Linked DNA regions of Chlamydomonas reinhardtii. The protein of the gene in region 3 binds, or shares a complex with, the protein of the main gene of each other region. Links are inferred from orthologs where the notes say so. Each region holds a gene or a part of one and is shown on either strand. Other genes may lie near its edges.

Region 1 (3,744 bases), on a different chromosome or scaffold from region 3:
GCGTTGTGGTTGGTTCAAGTGCCGCCAGCGTTGGGCCACCTGGGACGTAGTGTCAGCCTGGGGGTCGCGGTACTTTAGGGTACTTTGCAATTCTGGGGGCGGTCACAGACATGCGCCACGTGTAGGGTTTCCTCGCGCTGATGGGATGTGGTGCCTGGTGGCCACCCATCCTCGCGCGTGGGACGGGTCATTGTATGCTGCTTGTGGTACCTGACGTAAATGCTGCCCCGCCGCCCCCCGCCCCCGCCCTCCATCGCTGGAGGGCGACTGTGTCGCCCGACCTCTGGCTGGTTGTGCCTTTCTGCATGGTCCTGTGCGGAAGAGTGTTCTGGGTTGGACCCTTTTTTTCCTGGATTTTCAGGGCCTGGCGGCCGCGGCTGCGGCACAGGACCGGCAGCGGCGGAGGCAGCGGCCCTGCGCCCAGCAGTGGCGGCGTGCATGCGTGCAACATAGAGGGCAGGCAAGGCCACGCACGTGGAGGCGAGCGCGGCGCCGCCCGAGAAGCGGTGCCGGCGCGCAGGTTGAGATTGCCGGTGTCTGGTTTGCGGTCTTTGCTGGCGAACATAGCGTGGCACGGCGTGTGACGGGATTCATTACTGATTGGTTTTGTTGCCGGCTGTGCTTGTGCTTGACAGTGGGACGCGGCTGGACACATGGCGGGCGGTGCCTGTATAAACCGAGCCCGGCTTCGGGAAATTTGCTGAATGTGATGCGTCAAGCGTGCAGCGTGATGCATGTGAACAAACGTGTTGTCCCCCCAAGAGGCAATGCTGACTCTGAGCAGCATCCTCCCTGGAGCGATGGACGCCGTTCTCCGCGGCAGGTCGCTATTTGATGCGAGTGAGGGACTGAGGGGTTTGGTATCAGGCAGGGGGAAACGTGTTCAGCACGAGGGGCAGACACCTCCCTTGCTTGCCTGTACCGCAGGGGTGCTCTGCCGCTACCCTCGCTTACGAGCTGGCCACAGCGCACATCCCTTTCATTATGCGGGTGTGCAGCAGAAATTCATCCATGGGCAGGGCCGAAGGTCATCACGACATAATAGGCACGCCCAGGCGCGCCCTATGCCCCCCCCGACCTGCCCCGACCTGCCCCTCTGTGTGCCTGATGCAAGCACGGAAAGCAAATCCTCTGGAGACCGGCTGTGGCACCCCAAAGCTTTAAACACCCACAGTATATAAAACTGCGTTGTACAGCTTCTCTGAAACACAAAGCCAACTCGCGCGACTCAAAAATTGCTTGGCGACTGACTACATTAAACCAAGTCAAACCCCACACGTCCAGGCTCCTGGTAGCTTGTAAGGAATCATCTATTCCATCCTCACAAGACGCGCGTAGTGCTTGGGTTCGGGGCGCATCGTGCGCAGGATCTCGGGTGCTGCTCTCGGAGCCATGCTGCCCCTTTCGTTGCTAAAGACGGCTCAGCGCCATGGGGTGGTGAGTAATATCTGGACTCAGGACCTTGCCACCTGCGCGAGCTGCTGACCATGCGGGCCAACTTCGGTCCTTCTCGCAGCTTGTGGAGTTAAAAAATGGAGAGACGTACAACGGTTATCTCCAGCACTGCGACACATGGATGAACCTGCACCTGTCGGAGGTCATTTGCACGTCCAAGGTGGGTTTGCAGGGCTCCGGACGGCGGCCCCGGGGCAACCAGGCCACCCCGCGCCGCTGTGCGCCACGCCGCTGTGGACCCACAAGCTCCATATGGGCTTGTTACCGGCGGCAGGACCATTCTGGCGGCCTGGAGATCCAATGCAGCATAAGGGCGCCTGCACGCAGGCAGCGGGAGGGGCGGCGGAGAGTTGCGGTCGGAGGCGCAACGCCCGTGTGGAGCTTGCCGTATCCGGCTGAGTTCTATTGATACTGGCACATATGCGCGCGTACACAGGATGGGCAGCGGTTCTTTAAGATGCCCGAGGCCTACATCCGTGGCAACACCATCAAGTACATCAGCGTGCCCGAGGAGGTGAGGCGGGGTGGGTTGTCTTCACCACACCGTAAGCCTGCACTTGTGACGGTGTGCTAAGGGGCCGAGTTAAGGAGGGCAACTTGGGGGGATGATGGGGCGTGGGCTCGTGAACGTGGGCTTGAGGACAGGTGCACGTGTGCGCCGTGCAGTGGTGCCCTGCCGCAGATGGTGGCGCAACCGACTGCCGTATACCCGTGCTTTGCACTGGCCTGCTGTTAACCACCACTTGTATCCCGGCGGGTGTGGCAGGTGGTGGACAAGGTACAGGAGGAGAACTTGAGACGCGACGGTGAGGACCTGGGCAAAGGGGGACACGCTTTACAGGGAAGGGGCCCAAGGGGCAAGCGCTGGGCACTGGGTAGGGCGGGGTGGCGCGGGGCGGGGCGAGGCGGGGCGGGGCGGGGCGGCCCGGCGGGGTGTGGGGCCGGCGTGCCCTCCAGTACAGTCCAGTACAGGGCATGGTTCTCATGGTGCCACGGGGCAGTCTGCCTGCCGGCAGCTCCAGCTGTGGCTGCAGCACTTGTACCGCACCTGCACTGACTCGCCCACCATGTGTCGGTTGCGCTCACCTCAGAGAAGCGGCCCACAGTGGCCGGCCGCGGTCGTGGCGGCCGCAGCTGGTCGGGAGGCCGCGGCGAGGGCGGTGGGGGCCGCGGCGAGGGCGGCGGCCGTGGCCGTGGCGAGGCAGGACGCGGTGAGTTGGTTGTAGGGGTGCGGGCTGGTGCGAACTGCCATGGATCTGGATCAGCCATGTTATGGCATCAGGCACGTCTGGATGCAGCCGTGGCCTGGCGTGCCAGCCTGCGCGCCACCCCAAGGCGTTGGCCCACCTTCCTTTGCGGCAACACCTGCGCTCCCTGGGATTTGGCATGGCTCGTGTGTGTGGATACATGAGGACGCGGTGCTGGTGGTCTGGCTTAGGTGGCATACGCGCACTGCATCAAGAGCTGACCGCCCGGATACGGTGTGGTGCCGCAGGGCGTGGGCGCGGGCGCAGCTGAGCAGCGCGGCAGCGGACTGCTGTCCCGAAGGCCGTGGACGTGGTGGCGGACTCGGGCGGAAGCGAAGCGACTGCGGCGCCGGCGAGCCCGGCGCGGGGGCGGGCGTCAGCACGCGGGGCAGACAATGGAACGTGATTTGTTTGCATGGCTGCTTGCCGGCACCGGATTGTGAATGGTGATTGAGAGCTGAGGTGGTAGTAGCCAGCCTTGCTTGCCGCTATCCATGTGCGGTATGCATGTAAGTGCGGCGTGGGGCGGCCAGCTCCCTAATGATGGGGAGGTCGTGGGGGCGCCGCGGGCCAGCAGGGCATGTCTGGGGTCTGTGGCTCCGCCCACGCGGGCTGACTGGCTTGACTGGATTGTGGGGCCTGGATTGTGGGGAGGCTGTGGGTTGCCCAGCGCTGGCCGAGCAAACTGTACGTCGTTGCGGGGTGTTGTTATCGCACCGCGGTCACCGCTCTGGTGGACGCCCTGGCAAACGTAATGAAGAGCCAGATCGAAGTGTGTGGGCTACGTCTTAGATACAGAGGCATTGCGGCTGGTGCACGAGCGGGCTAGTCACGGCCAGTCACGCACGTAGGGCCGTAGGGGGCAACTTGGATAGTGAAGTTGCCCCTGCAGGTTGGCTTGGCCAGTGTGGGTCCTGGCCTTCTGGGCCCCACCCAAACGGGCATGTGTGTACATGTGCCCGCACAGCAGCGCCAGACAGCGCATTCCCTGTAACCACTCTAAGACGAAGGGCATTACATGAAGCATACAGCTGCATGTTTA
Region 2 (3,370 bases), on a different chromosome or scaffold from region 3:
CCGCATCCTTTTCACAGGCGCGCAAATCACCCGGACCGAACATGCGCGCAAACTGCTTCAGCACACCTTGGACAGCTGCTTTATGCTCTTGTACCGCTTGCAGACCTCAATCCACCGCAGCCACAGGCTCAGGTCGCTGCGGAACTTGCGCCCAGCGCGCTCGAAGATGAAGTGGATGCGCCGCACGATCGCCACCTCCGCCAGACCCTTCTTCCCTGCAGAGCACAGCACATGCGCCCCCTCAAGTCTGTTCGGCAGAGGAACTCCTGAAGCTCCCAAATAGTTGTCACCTAAGGCAACTTTAATACGCCCGCGGGCGTGGACGGTACTTTCGGACTGTGCGCGTGCCGAAACCCAGAACCCCGTGCAGAACCCCGCCTCCCCGCTTCTCGCACCTTTGATGTGCTTCTTCGCCTTCCGCGCCTGTCGCAGCTCCTCCAGCTTCATTTCGAAGTCGACGTACCTAATTTTATAACCAGATGCCAGCCAATTGGCGCCTATTCAAGGAAAGACCGGCGGCGCATGCACGGTCGGCGCTCACTCGAGACGCACCTGTAATAGTCCTCCTTGAGCGCCGCTCTCCGTTTTAGAAGGTACTCAAAGTTTTGTCGCTTCTGGACTATTTTCTTAACCTCCGCGCGCGTAAAATAGCCTTTTTGCTCTAGGTCCTCCAGCTCCGGAATCATTTGTTCCATTAGGTATTGTACCGTGTCCGCCATGGCTGCAAATTGTTCTTACACCAACGGGCGACTCAGCGCCAAAGACAGTTAGCCGGCGACAGGTTTTTCACGCGTTGCTTTGCCCGTCAGCTAAATCCAAAGGTTTTAAGAGTGTAGACACTGCTTAAACATTGAATCGTGGCGTTTGGAGAGGGTTTCGTGTCAGCTGGGATTGGGCTGCATCGGTGCTGCCTAAAATCCTCTCGCCCTTCGCTGTCCTTCAGGTGCATCCTATCTACTAGTCTCTCCACTGCCTCGTTCTGTATCTGTTAGCGGCCTGTCCTTTGCCGGTTCAGATTGCTGCGTTCAGCGCTGTGCTTTCGGAGCTCTAGATCATAGCACTGGTGTTGAAGCTTAAGTAGCAGTACCATGTTATTCTTCTCACTGTTCAAGACGTTGGTGGGCAAGGAGGTGCGCGCCATGCGGACTAGCCTAAGGACTCTGTGCACTGCGGCAGCGCTTGCCGCAGCAGGATAGCTGACTGGTGGCATTCTGGAACTGCTCAGGTGACGGTGGAGCTCAAGAATGACTTGTGTATTAGCGGCGCGCTGCACAGCGTGGACCAGTACCTGAACATTAAGCTCACCAACACGCGCGTGCACAACGAGCAGAAGTACCCGCACATGGTGAGGCTGGCGCAGTCGGGGGCGATCAACGTTGCCGGGGGAACCAAGTTGAGGTCAGGGGGAAAGGCGCTAGCGGCAGAGGCAGGGTGAGGTGGATGAGAACACGTGCTGGGTACTTCGGTTGGTGCGCGGCGTGGCGGGTAGCGACTCAGAAGCATGAATCAGCAGGGCCGAGCGCGGTTAAACTGGCAGCCACGACAGGTGATGGCGGCTGATGGCAGAGAGGGTATAGATGTCCACAGGTTGCCTTGGCGTCCTCTTGACAAGGCCGGGCGTAACAGCGTGGCGTAACAGTGACAGTCGGGGAATGTTGTGAACCGTATCTTGGGGCAGCACACTGGTACAGCGAGTCGGCCTGGAGGTCTTTTATGGTGGCCCCGGGGTGAGGCGTGGATGGAAGTTGGGGCCTTTATTATATTGATGCTGTTACAGCCGGGAATTCCTGGTGTAACACTCTGGGCTGGTGAGAGCCCATTGCGGGCATGCGGCGCTGGCAAATGATGTCGACTCCTTCACATTCAGTTGCTCCCTTTCCCCATCCTTGCAGATGTCTGTGCGCAACTGCTTCATTCGTGGCTCCGTCGTGCGTTACGTCCACGTGAGTGGGGTGGCATGACAAAGGAAACGTTGCACATCACGCGGCATGGTGCTGACGCTGTTGCTGCCCTGCTCATGAAAGCAAGTGGCCTAGCGTGCCGCACATTTGCACAAATGTTACAGAAGCATATGTGCTTGGCCATTAGGGCGCATTCACCACGCCTACCGCTTAGCACCTGGAGCGGGAATCACTCCACAATTCCACACACACAATCGTGTACGTGTTCCTAAGCTACCCACACACCCTGACTGCCTTGCTCTTACAGCTACCACCCGGGGCCGTGGACGTGGAGGTGCTTCACGACGCCACGCGGCGCGAGGCTCGCGGTGGTTAAAAACAAGTGCAGCTTTGTAACGTTGGATGCCGCTAGGGTGGCCTCGGGTTTAGGCCACAGCCACATGCTGTGTGCCTTATGCCCTAGGACATAATGACTTCTGACGGACTGACGCAAGTGGTGACAGGACTCAATAGTTGCCTGCGCGAGTGCCATTGTGGCACGCCCACAATATGACGGTACACAAGCAGTACTTAACGCGCGTTGCCGACGGCGCAAGCGCAGCTGGCGTTGAGGGAAGCTCATGCGTCAGCTTTCGGGGCGGCGGCTCCCCCGCCCCAGCTGGATTTGAGTAGGAGCTGGTTTTTGATATCTGTGTTGGCTCGTTGGAGCTCGGCCACTTCCCGCTTGAGTGATTGGATGCTGGCCTTGCACGTCTGGATTTCCTGCTCAGCGGCCTGGCAGCGCGCCTCGGCCTGTTAGGGTTGGTGACGCATGGCGACAGTGGTGCTCAGGAACGAGCAACGACATGAAAGCAGAAACCACCAGTCTAGAGGGGCGTGCACTTGCGGCTCCCGGTATTTTAGTAGTACCGTGCTGTGGAGCTGCATGCGCGGATGGGTGATGCGGTCGGAGTGTGATGCCCAGTATCTGGATGGGCAGTAACGAGGAAGATACGGTAGTGCCCAAGTTTGGGGCAGCGCGCCCTCACCTGTAAGGCCTTGCTCTCCTCCATGTTGAGCTGGTCCTGCAGTTCCTTGCGCACGGCGCTGGCGTCCTCCATGGCACGAGCGCGCGCCTGCTGCACCGCCGTGGCCTGCGTGTCCAGGCAAAGGGAGCGCAGCGTTGACCACGGAGCGGGTAGATCGCATTTGTTACAAGAGGGTTGTAAGGGTCGAAGAACGCCACTGGTCGCATCGCACGCAGGGGGCTCTGCAAGGCTGCAACAGCAAACACCGAAGGATGGAACCCAACTACGTCCTGTCAGCCAGCCACGCCACACCGCGCCACGCACCATGCGCTCGTCCACCACCGCCAGCTCCGCCTTCATGTGCACGTTATCATACAGTGACGCCAGCGCGTCGTCCAGCGCCACGTCGTACTCTTGCTTGATGCGCAGCAGCAGCGAGCGGTACGTTGTGAAGCTGTGCAG
Region 3 (3,646 bases):
CCCAACTCGTTGGCCCCGGTGGTGCCCCATCTCAGGGCGAGATCGACCGGCTGCAGTCGGGTCTGGAGCAGGCCAGGCGCGAGCTGTCCAGCAGCAAGGCCAATCAGGAGCAACTGGTGGCCTCGCAACAGGTGGCCATCGCCGGCATGACTGAGCGCCTCAACAAGCAGAGCGACCGCTACAACGAGCTCAGCAAGGTGCGTGCATGTGGCGCTCGGCGCTGGGGCCATGCGGCGGGGGTGCGTGGTTTGGGGAGGATTGGCTGCGCGTGGATGTGGCATGTGCTATGGAGGGCTAGCTGGCTACGGGTGTGCCGGCCAGCGCGATCCTGCCTTACTGTGCGTCTTGCTGAGTGTAGCTGTACCCGCTGCGGGCTATTGGTTGGTTGTGAGCGCAGAAGCACGAGTCGGTGAAGCAGCAGCTGGACACGGCGCAGCGCGAGATTGAGAACTGGAAGACCAAGTCGGAGCGGCTGGACCACGCCATGGCGGACGTGACGCGCCTCATCCGCTTCGCGCGCAACCCGCCCGACTCGGCCCGCTCCTCGCTCATCATGTAAGAGCAGTGGGCGTGCGACCACACAGTACCTCTCAGCATTAATGTCCTTTGCGCCTTGAGGCGCCGCGGCCGCCTTTCCTGCGGCAAACCTTTCAACCACATCCGCCTGTCGCCATACACAACGGCCGTCCTTGCTGCAACCCACAGGACCCGCAGCGACCACATGTCGCCCAACTGGGCCACCAGCAACGTGTCCGGCTCCCGCAACGGCCCCAGCGGCATGGGCGCCACACCTGGCTCGCTATCGCTGCGCATCACGGAGTCGCCCGCCGAGTCCCCGCGCATGTCCACCAGGTGAGCACTGAGCAGCCTTGCGGTACATGTGTGTAATCAGTACTTTCGCCCATACTTATGCAGCGTTGTTTCCTTCATTGGTCTTAGCCATGCACACCAAGCGAGACAACCATGCGCCCCGCGTCTTGCAGCGCACTCGGGTGACTCGGCCACCATTGACCCAAGCAATGCCATGCCAGCCCGGACACGAGAGCCTTTAACATGAGCGCCAGTGCCCACTCCAAATCCGGCTCCTCCACGTTCCGTCATTGACCCCTTCCCACGCCCTTCGACTCCCCCTCACAGCCGCTACTCCAACGCCAGCCCTGCGTCCAAGATGGGAAGCGTCGCCGCCAGCCATCGCATCGATGACGACGGCGAGGAGTGGCAGAGCGCCGCGCGGCGCACGCTCGACGTGGTCAGCCCCGGCGATCAGCTGCCCATCCCAGCCGACGGCGACGACTGCTGAGCAGCCCGGCTTTGCCTGATACCTACAAGCTAGAAAGCTGGGCTGAGGACGAATAATACTGACTGACCACCACCACCACCACCTGCTAGACCAACTGGTTCGACGCTCATGTCCTGAGCCAACTGATGACACCGGGAAACCCCATGGCTGTGCGGAGCCGCCAGGAGGCCGCCGCGAGAGAGCGGCGGTGCAGTACAAAGTCCCGCCTCCGCCGCCCCTGAGGTGGGGCAGAAGACGGGTCAAGGCGAAGCTGGAGCTGCTGTGGCGGGCTGTGTTGGCCCGAGCACTGCTCCAAGCGACGGCCCTGCCGGTCCACACGGCGACAGTCGTCGTGTACAGTGGACGTCCGGCGGCAGTAGTTGCTCCGCATTCCGCCGCCGGATGAGCCCTAGGGTAGCTCAGGTCCGCTGAGACAGTGCTGGCTAGATTGTAGACGCCGTGGCGAGAGATCCTAGATAGTTGCGGTCGGGTTGGCCAAATGAGAGAGTGGTAACAAGTGTCTAGAACCGTCTGCGTGCGCAGGAAGGCCTATGAAAGCAGTACCAGTGTGTGCTTAGCACGTCTCCAGAAAGCGCTTGGCGCTAAGAAGCAGGACGAAGTCATGTCTGTACTCTACCTATCCTAACCAAAGTCCGTAAGTCGAAGTGTTGGGATTGAGTTTCAGTATCTCCAGAGAGATGTAACACCTAATCTATTCATCGTCGCCCTCTGCCGCCTGCTCGCCGTCTTTCGCCTGGAGGAAGGGGTTGGCAATCTCCTCCATGCCCGCGGACGGCGCAACCAGCATCACTGCAGTGCCGCGGCACACCTGCATCACGTGGAGGGCGGGTCAGCAACTCAGGGTCAAGGAAACGCCACTCTCTCAAGTTCACGGCGATAGTCTGCACCCCTGCGCTTGCTACGCCGAAGGCGAAGTACTCACCAGCAGCCCTAGTGACCGGGTCTCATCGGTCACCGTGAGCGGGTCTTCCGGGTCTGCGCACGAAGGGAGAGACGGCGGCAAGCAGATGGGTGGGTGCGTGTGCGTCACGCCCGCGTACCGACACCCCGCGTAGTCCCCGGGCTCCGAACCTGTCGCACCCACGGCAGTCCTGCCCTACCTCGGAGGTACTCCACAGCCTCATCGATCACCAGGTTCAGCAGCTGGTCGTAGCCCTTCAAGATCCCTTGCACTGCGCGCAAGTTGTCGAAAGTTGAGCGAGAGCGCACCGAGCGTCTTACTGGGTTGGCGATATGTGTTCCTCGCACCTTCCCGTCCACCAGCAAGCTTGACGCGAACGCCCTTGTCAATAAACTTGGCGAGGTCGACCGCCGACTCCTTGGCCTTTCCTGCCATGGTTATGTTACTGAAATGTAATGAAGTTGAAAGTTTAGAAAATCAAACAGGCTGGTGGACGAAGGCGTGTGCGAAGGATTGCATTTCGCGCCTGCGCTGCTCCATGCATCCGTGCGGCTTTCCTAGTATGCATTGACTTTCCATGTAATTTGTTACTGTCACTCACTTGCAAATTGTTCATACCCGCCCTCAAGGCGTGGGTCTGTTGTCCCAAATTGCACCCAACCTTTGCTTGTGTCTTCACCGCTGCTATTAGGTCAAGCGCTGGCAGCAATGCTTGCAGGGGGGTTAAGGGGGGCGCTGGGACTCAGCCGGGTGGCGTCGGGCGAGCGGCGAACAGCGGCGCCGCACACCCCACGTTGCCCCGCCGACAGCGCCCCTTCCACTAGCAGCTCCCACCTCGCACTGGACCCAGCGCCATATAGTTCATCCTGCCATCGCAGCCGCACTAGCTGCATCGCCAGCACCAGTAGCAGCAGCACCGGCACCACCAGCACCGGCAGTAACAACTCCGGCCGCGCCAGCAGTCCAGCCGGCGGCATCACAGTGCCCCCAGCCATCCTCACGAAGTCCGCCGTGCGCCGCACCTCCAGCCCGAACTCCGTCATCGTGCATAACCTGCGGCTAAAGCTGGGCTCACGAGACGTCAAGCGGCCCGTGCTCAACGGCGTGGACCTGCAGGTACGGACCATGCGGCGGCTGGGGAGTCGGCCAGCCGGGTTGGTCGTCTTTCCCTAGTCAGGGCGCGAGAGATCACCACGGCCACACACCGTAGCTCCTCCGACCATTCCTACCGCACCCAATACCTTCCCTTGCCAGCCCGCAACACTGCATTAGCGGCACCCAATCCTCGCCCGGGCAGGTGCGGCGCGGCTCGCTACACATGCTGCTGGGCCCCAACGGCTGCGGCAAGAGCACGCTGCTCAAGGTGCTGGGCGGGCTGCTGGTGCCGGACAGCGGCCTCATCGACGCCGACCAACCCAGCGGCTTCGTGTTCCAGAACCCCGACC

The links.
Region 1: CHLRE_03g164101v5 (region 3) and CHLRE_06g251300v5 share a complex: the UniProt entries of both Arabidopsis thaliana proteins name them as parts of the heptameric LSM1-LSM7 complex. The link is inferred for Chlamydomonas reinhardtii from reciprocal best matches to the Arabidopsis thaliana genes EMB2816 and emb1644.
Region 2: CHLRE_03g164101v5 (region 3) and CHLRE_10g441950v5 share a complex: the UniProt entries of both Arabidopsis thaliana proteins name them as parts of the heptameric LSM1-LSM7 complex. The link is inferred for Chlamydomonas reinhardtii from reciprocal best matches to the Arabidopsis thaliana genes EMB2816 and LSM2.

Annotation. Positions count from the first base shown.
Region 1 is NC_057009.1:320,259-324,002, reverse strand, and holds CHLRE_06g251300v5 (uncharacterized protein), read left to right. Parts: upstream 1-1,138; 5' UTR 1,139-1,392; coding exon 1,393-1,437; intron 1,438-1,516; coding exon 1,517-1,615; intron 1,616-1,891; coding exon 1,892-1,969; intron 1,970-2,221; coding exon 2,222-2,261; intron 2,262-2,546; coding exon 2,547-2,666; intron 2,667-2,950; coding exon 2,951-2,973; 3' UTR 2,974-3,708; downstream 3,709-3,744. UniProt on the Arabidopsis thaliana protein: Component of LSM protein complexes, which are involved in RNA processing. Component of the cytoplasmic LSM1-LSM7 complex which is involved in mRNA degradation by promoting decapping and leading to accurate 5'-3' mRNA decay.
Region 2 is NC_057013.1:3,152,936-3,156,305, reverse strand, and holds CHLRE_10g441950v5 (uncharacterized protein), read left to right. Parts: upstream 1-950; 5' UTR 951-1,088; coding exon 1,089-1,130; intron 1,131-1,225; coding exon 1,226-1,345; intron 1,346-1,892; coding exon 1,893-1,943; intron 1,944-2,208; coding exon 2,209-2,277; 3' UTR 2,278-2,776; downstream 2,777-3,370. Other genes in the region: CHLRE_10g442000v5 (uncharacterized protein), read right to left, coding at 67-215, 396-463, 553-719; CHLRE_10g441900v5 (uncharacterized protein), read right to left, coding at 2,801-3,034, 3,233-3,370. UniProt on the Arabidopsis thaliana protein: Component of LSM protein complexes, which are involved in RNA processing. Component of the cytoplasmic LSM1-LSM7 complex which is involved in mRNA degradation by promoting decapping and leading to accurate 5'-3' mRNA decay.
Region 3 is NC_057006.1:3,033,865-3,037,510, forward strand, and holds CHLRE_03g164101v5 (uncharacterized protein), read right to left. Parts: upstream 2,692-3,646; 5' UTR 2,637-2,691; coding exon 2,549-2,636; intron 2,473-2,548; coding exon 2,401-2,472; intron 2,276-2,400; coding exon 2,223-2,275; intron 2,109-2,222; coding exon 1,992-2,108; 3' UTR 857-1,991; coding exon of another isoform or gene 706-856; 3' UTR 596-705; downstream 1-595. Other genes in the region: CHLRE_03g164050v5 (uncharacterized protein), read left to right, coding at 36-197, 398-555, 706-856; CHLRE_03g164150v5 (uncharacterized protein), read left to right, coding at 2,910-3,317, 3,499-3,646. UniProt on the Arabidopsis thaliana protein: Component of LSM protein complexes, which are involved in RNA processing. Component of the cytoplasmic LSM1-LSM7 complex which is involved in mRNA degradation by promoting decapping and leading to accurate 5'-3' mRNA decay.